Linked DNA regions of Arabidopsis thaliana. The protein of the gene in region 2 purifies or fractionates together with the protein of the main gene of each other region. This does not show direct contact. Each region holds a gene or a part of one and is shown on either strand. Other genes may lie near its edges.

Region 1 (4,568 bases), 8.2 Mb from region 2:
GCCTGTGATAATTTCCTATTAAGATAACTGCTCTGATATTGATAGGAAGCACTGAAGCAGACTTATGAAAAAGCTCTTAAAGCAGCAAATGATTTCGGTTATCAAAAAGAAAGTCCTGAGTAAGTTTTTCTCCTCGTCATAAACCAACAGTTACTGTACTATGTTGGCCTAAGCTGCTCTGTAGCTTCCTCGTGCTCGTTACTATTGTGAATCCAAAGGATTGGAATAATATTCGGTTTTGATGTCAGGGCACTACTTCATGGAGCAACGATTGCAGCATTTTTGAACATAGCTCAAGCCATGACGGACCAAGGTTGTGTCTAGCAAAATGGCCCTGCATCTTAAGTACCGGCAGGAGTTCTGTAAACGTAATGAAGTAACATTGGACTCTCTGTAACATATTAGATGGAAATCTATATCATTATTTAGAAATTACATACTCTGATAGGAATAAACCTTTTTCAGCCATAGTATGTTAACTTAAGTTATGTGACTAACAAAGATGGAAGAAACTGATAACGCAGAGCTTAAACAAGGTTGCAAGGGTCCAAATTTTAACTATTTGTCTTTTGACAGAGAGATTTGCTTTGAGCTGATGCTAAACAAAAAAGTTACAAAATCAGTGGCATTCTCTCCTACAGTGTTTTTATAGATGACATGGTAAATTTTATAGATTTAAGACAAATGGTAATTCTCAGGGTACTCTTGAGTGGATCAAAACTCGGAAAACTGAAGATATGGAGATTAAATGCTTCTCAATGCAAGGTCAGTATCTTGCATCATGATCTCTATCCAGAAAAGAGCTTCAATTATCAGTATATAAGGCTCTCCCTTAGCTTCATGTCCTTGTTGGGGGAGCGGAAGAATCAGATTTCTCCGCCAAATAGTGCTCAAGCATGTCTTCTTCGTCATCTGTATCAAAAAAAAACAAAGCGGTTCTTGAGAACCATTGGTTGCTTATGGATAATCGCGTGTAAACCAAAAAGAAAGACTATTTCACCTTCAAAGTCTTCGTCTTCAAAGTCGATGTCTTCCTCATCTTCCTCCTCATCTTCCTCATCAGCAATGACCACCGTTCCTCTCTGAACAAGACAGTTAACAACAATAGTACTTGTTTAGATAATGAAATTCTAACATGAGTCCGATAATAAACAAGAATGAGACATACCCCTCTCCCACTTTCGAACCACTGTCTTCCTGTAAGCTTCTTCTCCTTAGGTGCTGTAAGAGCAGACTCCGGCATCAACCTTAGAAATTAATTCACGGCCACAGATAAAAAATTAATAACTCAGTCAGTGTTCAATGGTATATAAGAGCAAGGAAACAAGAAGAATATGCAGGGAAAGTTTACTCACTTGGCTCGCTCAAGTGCAAGCTCTGCCTCATATCTCTCTCTCCACGCCAAAAATGTCTCTAGCGTAACAGGTTCTCCATGAGGGACAATTACCTGCAAAAATAAAATTTAGACAGGAAGAGAACAAGCGATACGAAGGCAGACACATATATCATGCAAAAAAGACTTGAGGTTCTTTGCAGCTTATATCTGAAATACTGAGCAGACAACAATACCTCATCCTCTTTGGCAGCTTCTACTTCGGCAAATTCAGCTGCATCATCTTGCCCATAGTGTTCAGACAACCAGTCCTTTGCTGATGAGACCAGTGTATAGATCATGGCCATACCTAGATTTTCAGATGCCTGTGAAAAATAGCTTTGTGTTCAGGCATGCAATTCGGTGTAGAAACAGCATAGACCAGAGGCCTTCCAGTTTTATACTTCATGTATAAAATTTATAACAAGCCATAAAGTTGTACAAATATATTACCTCTTGTTCAAGCTTCTCTTTCAAGATGGTGAGGTCACTAACATGGATTCCTCGAATACTGGAAGAATACTCTACCCACATGAGTGTCATCATCATATATCTGTTTTAGCTTGATAAAATTGGTTAACCAAGAATTACCTTTTAACATCCAAAAGCGGAGCCTCGTCCGGGTAATTTTCTGTGTGCGAGAAAACCAAAGCCAGCTGAACTGCAAGACAAATTGAGAGCTATAAGACTGAGAAAGTACAGGAGAGGCATATGATACAACAAGGTATCTTCTTTAAAGACCAATAACCTGGTGGGATTGCTAATTCCTCCAGTTCATCATCCTATAAAGACCAAAGAAGAAGCAGAAGATATTTCAGTTGACATTTCTACACTTATAACACATAAGCTTTTCACAAATGACAAACAAAGTGAAGGAAATAGATGAATGGTGTTGTCTACCTGAGGAGTCACTGTAATCTGAAAGCATCGATTCGAAGTATTAAGCCCACTTTCACTAGAATGAATTTCTGTTCACAAAACAGTCGTTAAGGATTCAATGCTCTCATCATCGGCTCAATGATGAACATACAAGGAAACTAAAAAAAACTCACCTTTAAACTCATCCATAAGTATAGCTTCAAGAGCTTCAATCTCCATTTCCTGCTCCTGCTTATACTCTACAAGAGACACAACATAACACCCAATAATTCTCAAATCAATCTGTCAGAAATCAAGATCAATCGGAATCTAATTACTCTCCCATCTAATGATAAGCTTAAGGAATCAAAGATTCGATGTTAAACGAAGAAATTAAGAAACTTTTGAAGTAAATTGATCGAACTCACCCGTCATGATGACCAAATTTGACACCTTTGTCGTGGAAGCTTTTGAGATTGCCTGAATATCGAACTCCACAGTGAGAGTCGCCTCGTGACCAAGAGCGACGTTAACGAGAGATAAACCTAAAGGAGAGAATCAGAACTTTACGATCCCCAAAACGGTGTCGTCGAATGGATTTCTCACTTTATTTTATTTTTTACGAAACAGAAAAAAATGAAAGGCCTTTTTCTCTCTCTCTCTCTCTCTTCTCGCTTCTCTTCTCCTCTCCGATCTTCTCTGTGACCCTCTTCTTCTTCGATTTCCTTTGGGTTTCTTCTCCGAATCGCCGGAGAAAAAAACCCTTCTTTGAATCTAAAGAGACTGTTTTTTTGAAGCTATTGACTGATTGATTGATAAGGAAGAATAAGCATTGATCGATCTGAATTTTGGGTACAAGATGTCGAGATTCAGAGACAGGACGGAGGATTTCAAGGATTCTGTTCGGAATTCCGCTGTTTCGATAGGTTATAATGAGGTACGCGAGTCACCTTTCGTCTTCAATCTCGTTTGATCGAAGCTATTTGTCAAAAAGAGAGGATTTTTTTGCATCTCAATTATGATCATTCCTTAGGGTTTTCAGGGTTTTGGATTGTTGTTTTTGTTAACATTTATCTGATTCGTTTGTATTTGTGTGGCAGTCTAAAGTGGCATCAACAATGGCGTCTTTTATTATACATAAGCCAAAGGAGAGATCGCCTTTCACGAAAGCTGCTTTCAAAACGGTACCTTTAGTGATTCAGCATTTTTATCTGAAATATGTTTGTTGCATTATTGAATGATTCTGATGTGGTGTTGCTACCAACTTGTCTATGTTGGTTGATTTAGCTTGATAGCATCAAGGAGTTGGAACTGTTTATGTTGAAGCATCGAAAGGATTATGTTGATCTGCACCGGACTACAGAACAGGAAAAGGATAGTATTGAACAAGAAGTAAGTACTCTGAGCTAGGCTTGCCCGTAGTATATATCTGAACTCATGAAGTTACTGCGATAAATCTATGCTTGAGTTGAGATTGAACATATGGAACTATGGAATCATAAGAAATGTAGCAACTCATATTGAGATAACTCAGGAAGATTAATGTCTATTACTTTAGATAGCGAGGGAGTTAGTATATTGTGACACTGAGGAACTTGGATCTTGTATTCTTATACCTCTTGCAGTGTTTGATCGAGAACTATGTCTACTTATGTGTTGTGTAATATCATCAAACTCTCTCTCTCTCCCTCTTGCAGGTTGCTGCTTTTATTAAAGCTTGCAAAGAACAGATCGATATTCTCATAAACAGTATTAGAAATGAAGAAGCAAACTCCAAAGGATGGCTTGGCCTCCCCGCAGATAACTTCAATGCTGATTCTATAGCACACAAACATGGAGTGGTATGATATGCACCAATGTAGTAAGCCAACTTTGGTTTTTTTTTACTATGTTTTCTTTCAAAGTATCTAGATGTGTAGAAGTAATGGTAATTTTTTTTGTATGCAGGTTTTGATTCTGAGTGAGAAACTTCATTCAGTCACTGCCCAGTTTGATCAGCTTAGAGCTACTCGTTTCCAAGATATTATAAACAGAGCTATGCCGAGAAGAAAACCTAAGAGGGTCATAAAGGAAGCTACCCCAATTAATACAACTCTGGGAAATTCGGAGTCCATAGAACCGGATGAAATCCAGGCCCAACCTCGTAGATTACAACAACAACAACTTCTAGACGATGAAACACAAGCCCTTCAGGTAACAAGGCAAATATACATGATCTTCGAAAACTTGCATAAGTTTTGTAGTTATGCTAAATTTTGAAATTGATAATTTTTGCAGGTAGAGCTAAGTAATCTTTTAGATGGTGCTAGGCAGACAGAAACTAAGATGGTGGAGATGT
Region 2 (5,472 bases):
GGTCGGTTGATGGAAGGTCCTACAAACTCATCAGAAAATGCAAGGAAAAGCGAGAGCAGTGTGTCTGAACATGATACGGTTCAGGTCAGGAAGAACAATCTCACAACCAGAGTTTTGGCTAGACCTCCTCCAATGTCATCGTCTGCTACGAGTTCTGAGTCTTCATCGACTTCTCAATCCCCAGTTCCCTTCTCGGGAAGTTTCCTTGAGGAAGGAGGGTACTACAGAAAGCCTAGCTACATGAGCCTCACACAATCTATTAAAGCTAAGCAGAGACGATCAGGGTCTTCGTCCTCTTGTTCCAAAACACCGTTTGAAAAGAAACAGTCAATGTCTTACAACGGAGATGTAAATGTAAGGCGTAGTGCTGGTTCGGATCCGTTGAACAACCAGTGGACTGATCTATACCCACCAGCTCAAGTAACAGGAAGACATATGTGGGCAAAGAGCCAGAGAGGCTAAGCAATCGTGCCTTCAATCATCTCAACAGCTTGTTGGTCCCATGAAACACATACACGGAATATAGATACAGAAGCAACTTCTGTTTATCTTTTTTTTACATATGAATGTTAAGGAATTAGTTTCGAGACTACAAATGTCGTTGTTTGGCACTTGGATCATTAATCGTTTACTTCTCGTATTTCTGAAACAATCTATTCCTAGCTCTTGTCAATATGAAATCAAGATATGAATGCCAATGCCTTTTTATAGACTAAGAACAGAATTTACAGTAGAATTGGTGAGCAACAACTATTACATAGTTCTAATACACATGAGATCTGTATTACTTGGGATAACTCAGGATGAGTAACTGTTTTATTGCTTTAGTGGAGCTTTCTTCTCTCGGTCTGCAATTCTAGCAGGTGCGTTCGAGTGTGACTTGAACCGTCCCCTTCCCCCTTCTTCTCTCACCTGAAATTTCGACAAGCATCAACATTTGATGTAGCATTCTCATCATGAGACAGAGATCAGAAAATAGTTTATGCTTCTGTACCTTTTTCTTGACAATTTGAACAACATCTTCATCCTCAAGATGATGAAAAAGACCACAGTGTTGAGGGTAGTGCCTAGCGCTTGTGCCCCAAACTAGTGCATACTTCATATCCTTCACCAGAGTTCTGTGGACTTGGTTACAGAAATCTTCAACTGTGCAGCCACCTCTATCCTGAGGAGTGACACATGTAATCAAATATTACTGTCACAGATGTTATTGTGAAGTACAAACATGAAAAACATATCTGTAAATTCTTATCTATACAAAATAAGCCTGAATAGTGTTGAGGATATTATACTTACAGCTGAGAGGACAAAGGGTTCATCGAAATCTGGTTGCTGGCTTTGAGGCTTTGAGTAAACTCTCACAAGTCCCATTTCGTCCCACATTCTTGCAAGTAGTCTGTCTAAGTTTAGCTGTTTCAAGCAACACCATCATTTACCATTAGACCAGACTGTTCCAGTATATTCACAAGTTTCAGACTATACAGGAATCAGACCATTATGAAGAACCTAGAACCGCACTGGATAGGATTCTTATTTAGACACTACTATAGTCAAAATAAAAGAACTTGCCTTTAGGTTGCAGCTAATAACAATAGAATTTGGCTGCCGTGCCAGCCTATCAACGTCATCGATTCCAACAACATCTATTTTGTTGTAGACATATACACATTTGATGTATTTGCGATTGCCTTCAACGACATCAATAAAGTCATCCACCGTAGCATCTTCACGAAATAGAACCTGAAATTTTTATTACTGAACCCATTGGACATCTCTCAACGAAGCAACAAAATATATGATTTAAAGTTTTTATAGTTCTTCTCCTAACTAGCGGACAAGAGAGGCACGTAATGATTCTTGTCCGAGGCTGAATAAAAACAAGATTAAAGATGGACTTAAGTACCTCAGCATTGTGAATCTTGTATTCATGCAGAATTTGATAACAGAGCTTCTCATCAATGCGAGTCAAGGGGGTTGTAGTGTTGAAAGAAATCCCACCAGTCTTCTTCTTCTTAAAGTATATCTGTTAGACCAGAGAAAGCAAAACACCACTAAATGGTAGCACATCAAGATAGTGCAGCATTTTCAAAGATGGAAAACAGAAATTAAGCAGATAAAGTGAAAGAGAACCAAGAGTTTCTAGTTTATAAGATATTAAGGGAGACCATTGATAAAGATGAGATTTACCTGTGGAGGTCTTTTGTTCAGACGCAGACCAACTGCTTCAAGCTCCTTAGTCAGTATTTGCCTGTGGCCTTCACTCTAAAACGATTTTGGGAAGAAGAAGTACTGAGACTAAAATAGCAAAAACGAAAAAAAGACAGAACCAGCACAATACTTATATGGAAATCAAAACCATAGCTCGTACTTTTGAGGCATCAAGAACCATCAACACAAGGTCTGAAGACTTTGCAACAGCAATAACCTGAAAAACAAACAGTTTCCATCTAAGTTTATTTCATAGCAAGGGATTAGAGACTAAAAAAAATAAGAATCAATTCGATTTAAACCTGCCTCCCTCGTCCCTTTCCTTCTGAAGCACCTTCAATAATCCCAGGAAGATCAAGCAACTGGATTTTGGTGTCATTGTAGTGAATAACTCCAGGGATGCATGTAAGTGTTGTAAATTCATATGAGGCTGCTTCAGAATGTGTGCCAGTTAACATTGTCAAAAGCGTAGACTTTCCAACACTGCAAATCACAGCCACAAACACATAGTGAGGGACTCTGAAGTTGGAACAAAGACATATACATGGATCATGGATGGGCGTGAATTTAGGATAGACCTTGGAAATCCTATAAGTGCAACACGTCCATGCCCATACTTTGTAACTTCAAAACCATCCCCACCTCCACTAGAGCCCTGTTAGGTAGATTTGAAAGACATTTAGAAATGAAGACTAAATACTCTGCTTCAGCTATATACAATAAGAAGTTGCATTACTTTTGGAGGCTCTAAGAGTTGTGTTCTGAGCTTTGCAATTTTTGCCTTGAGCTGACCAAGATGATACTCTGTCCAAAAAATGTAACAATATTTTCATTAGCTGACCATTTCTTCTGCTTTTGTTTCAGAAATATATGACAAATCAATGTCTATACATCTATACGTTATATAATGTAAAGAGAAACCTGTAGCTTTGTTCTTCTGCGTCCGAGCCATCTCGGCTTCGATCTCTTTTATCCTTTCCACAATTCCCATTTTCTTTCAGAATCTACTACTGCAATTTCTGGAGATAGGTAAGGACTGAGGTATCTTCACTAGTTTCAGCATAAAAAGAACCAACAACAATCAGACAGAATTCAAAGGCAAATCATAAAATCACCACCAAATTAACCATTAACTCAAAAAGACACAAACTTTAAACTGAGATAAATCATCTAAAGAACTCTAAAATTAGTAACATATCTAACAAACAAAATCTCACCACTTTGGCATCGATTGTCTACCGATCAAACAACATTAAAAGATCGAAGCTTTTGCATGAAAGGAGAGAAATTTTGATGAGTTAATAGGGGTAGGATGGTTCTAGAGAAAGCGAGAAAGATACATGTACGTGTTGGTCGAGAACCACCTCCAAGGAATAATGGATCGAATACAAAAAAAGGCCCAATTCAAGTCCGAGTCAAACTTCCATGGATATTATAGAGAATCATTCATACCAATTCAGGACACAGACACTACTTAATACTTTTCTCATAAATATATATAACCCACAAAGCCTCCTTAGAAAGTTACAAGTCTACTACAGAAACTGTTATCTTATCTCACATTTCTCGTCTCCCTTACTTGAGTTGCTATTTTACAAAAAAAACTCAGCTACAAGAAGTCGGACCTTGTTTCCATTTCCTTTCTGTTGCTATCTCCAACAAACTTGCTTACTGAGATTGCTTCTCCGCAAGCTCCCTTACCCGTAACAGAATCTGCGTAGGAATATGCATCGACCCATGTTTCTTGAGACTTCCCTGGAAACACGACAGTATACTCATAAGCTCTCGTTATTACAACTTGAGCAAAAGAAACTCCAGTTGGAAGCTAAAGGGATAGAGAGAGAGAGAGAGAGAGAGAGAGAGAGGGAGGTACCACGCTGTTTGAGGGACTCTGAGCAAAGCTTGTCTTCAAAAGGTTTCGCCATTTGTCCTAAAAAACAACAAGATGTTTAAACCAAAGCCTTGATTGATAGTATAAGCAAAGAGGGTTAAAAAGGTTGAATTACCTTGAGATCTACAGAGGTACGATAGGAGTGTGATGAAAACAAATGCTTTTTGATTTCAGACCACTTCCCGGCTCCATATTTTGATACACCCTCAACTAGTTTTGCTATCTCAGACAGAGTCCAAGCTCGATGATGCTTCCTTCTAAGCGCACCACCTTGCATGATTGGCACACCAATGTTATTCTCATCCGAGCTATTTCCAGATGAGTCTATGTGCTCTGGCTCCATCTCTTGATCAACCTCAGAGAGAATATGCTCCACATTGTTCTCGTCACTTGTAGCAAACTGCATTCGCAAACCAATAAAGCAATGAGAAACTGTGTCATACCTGGAACACCAAATTCATCTTATATCAGGTAGATGGTAAATGAGATCTAACCCTATACCATTTCTACTATCAGCAAAGTACGAAATGAGAATTACGAGAGTAAGGTAACTTAAACAACAGATATCTCTTACTTCGTTTTGGACCGGTCGAGAAGCAGACTTTTCCACCGAATCTCGGTTCACAACCTCACTGCTTAACTGGGATGGACTCAGATTGAGGTTACTCTCTGCTGCACTAGCTTTATCTTCCAAGTAACTGGAATGACATCCCTACACAATGTTGTAAAATCCTTAATTACATTCCGACATAACAGCAAAGCAAAATAATGGCATAGAAGATGATCACTTATTTTATTATTTTTACATCTGTGCTTCTTGAGATAGAATTTGGCATGTGACACAAGGCACAGATGTAACACGAGCCAGATGATTGGAAGCTTTTTTCAGTTCAAAGGAAAGGTATGAGATTAATTTACTATATTGAGGAGCATGAGTAACCAAGAGACATACCAAAAGAGCCATAATGTTCTCTCTTGGACGGCTTCTCCGGACATGAGAAACATAAGGAACCTCAATTTCAGATCCAGCAAGGGATACCATCCTGGTGACAGTAACTCTCTTCCCTGAGGAGACACTGATAGACCTGACCTCAGATTTTTCGGACAACCTCTGATCTTTAGAAGGAATCACTGACTTGTCATTTTGCTGTTTATCATCTGTTTCCGAAAGTTCTTCAATGTATCTTCGTGTAGGCTTCCTAACTCGTTTTGCAGCCCTCTGTTCACTGGAATAATCCTCACTAGCGTAATAGTGGTTGCCACCGTTTGAATGTCCATTCACATGATCAGTACTCGATGGAGCATCTTTCATTTTAGTAGCTCTTACGTCATCTCCCATCTCCTTTCTAATGGCATTCGTCACATCGTTGGAC

What was found. The genes of interacting proteins can lie anywhere in the genome.
Region 1: the proteins of AT1G72660 (region 2) and AT1G51730 fractionate together in Arabidopsis thaliana (co-fractionation; one large-scale study listed by BioGRID). This does not show direct contact.

What each region holds. Positions count from the first base shown.
Region 1 is NC_003070.9:19,185,974-19,190,541, forward strand, and holds AT1G51730 (Ubiquitin-conjugating enzyme family protein), read right to left. Parts: upstream 2,833-4,568; 5' UTR 2,666-2,832; coding exon 2,659-2,665; intron 2,491-2,658; coding exon 2,425-2,490; intron 2,341-2,424; coding exon 2,273-2,340; intron 2,155-2,272; coding exon 2,121-2,154; intron 2,034-2,120; coding exon 1,964-2,033; intron 1,884-1,963; coding exon 1,826-1,883; intron 1,699-1,825; coding exon 1,570-1,698; intron 1,448-1,569; coding exon 1,356-1,447; intron 1,248-1,355; coding exon 1,169-1,247; intron 1,083-1,168; coding exon 1,001-1,082; intron 913-1,000; coding exon 839-912; 3' UTR 515-838; downstream 1-514. Other genes in the region: AT1G51720 (Amino acid dehydrogenase family protein), read left to right, coding at 46-119, 249-324; SYP81 (syntaxin of plants 81), read left to right, coding at 3,090-3,167, 3,331-3,414, 3,518-3,622, 3,928-4,071, 4,178-4,423, 4,508-4,568.
Region 2 is NC_003070.9:27,351,888-27,357,359, reverse strand, and holds AT1G72660 (P-loop containing nucleoside triphosphate hydrolases superfamily protein), read right to left. Parts: upstream 3,596-5,472; 5' UTR 3,426-3,595; exon of another isoform or gene 3,259-3,425; 5' UTR 3,200-3,258; coding exon 3,130-3,199; intron 3,013-3,129; coding exon 2,945-3,012; intron 2,864-2,944; coding exon 2,787-2,863; intron 2,758-2,786; exon of another isoform or gene 2,692-2,757; coding exon 2,511-2,691; intron 2,426-2,510; coding exon 2,369-2,425; intron 2,263-2,368; coding exon 2,188-2,262; intron 2,024-2,187; coding exon 1,904-2,023; intron 1,741-1,903; coding exon 1,570-1,740; intron 1,411-1,569; coding exon 1,297-1,410; intron 1,166-1,296; coding exon 995-1,165; intron 913-994; coding exon 817-912; 3' UTR 508-816; downstream 1-507. Other genes in the region: iqd8 (IQ-domain 8), read left to right, coding at 1-462; TRFL6 (TRF-like 6), read right to left, coding at 3,877-3,963, 4,082-4,138, 4,215-4,499, 4,674-4,811, 5,052-5,472. UniProt on the Arabidopsis thaliana protein: Binds GDP and GTP, and has low GTPase activity.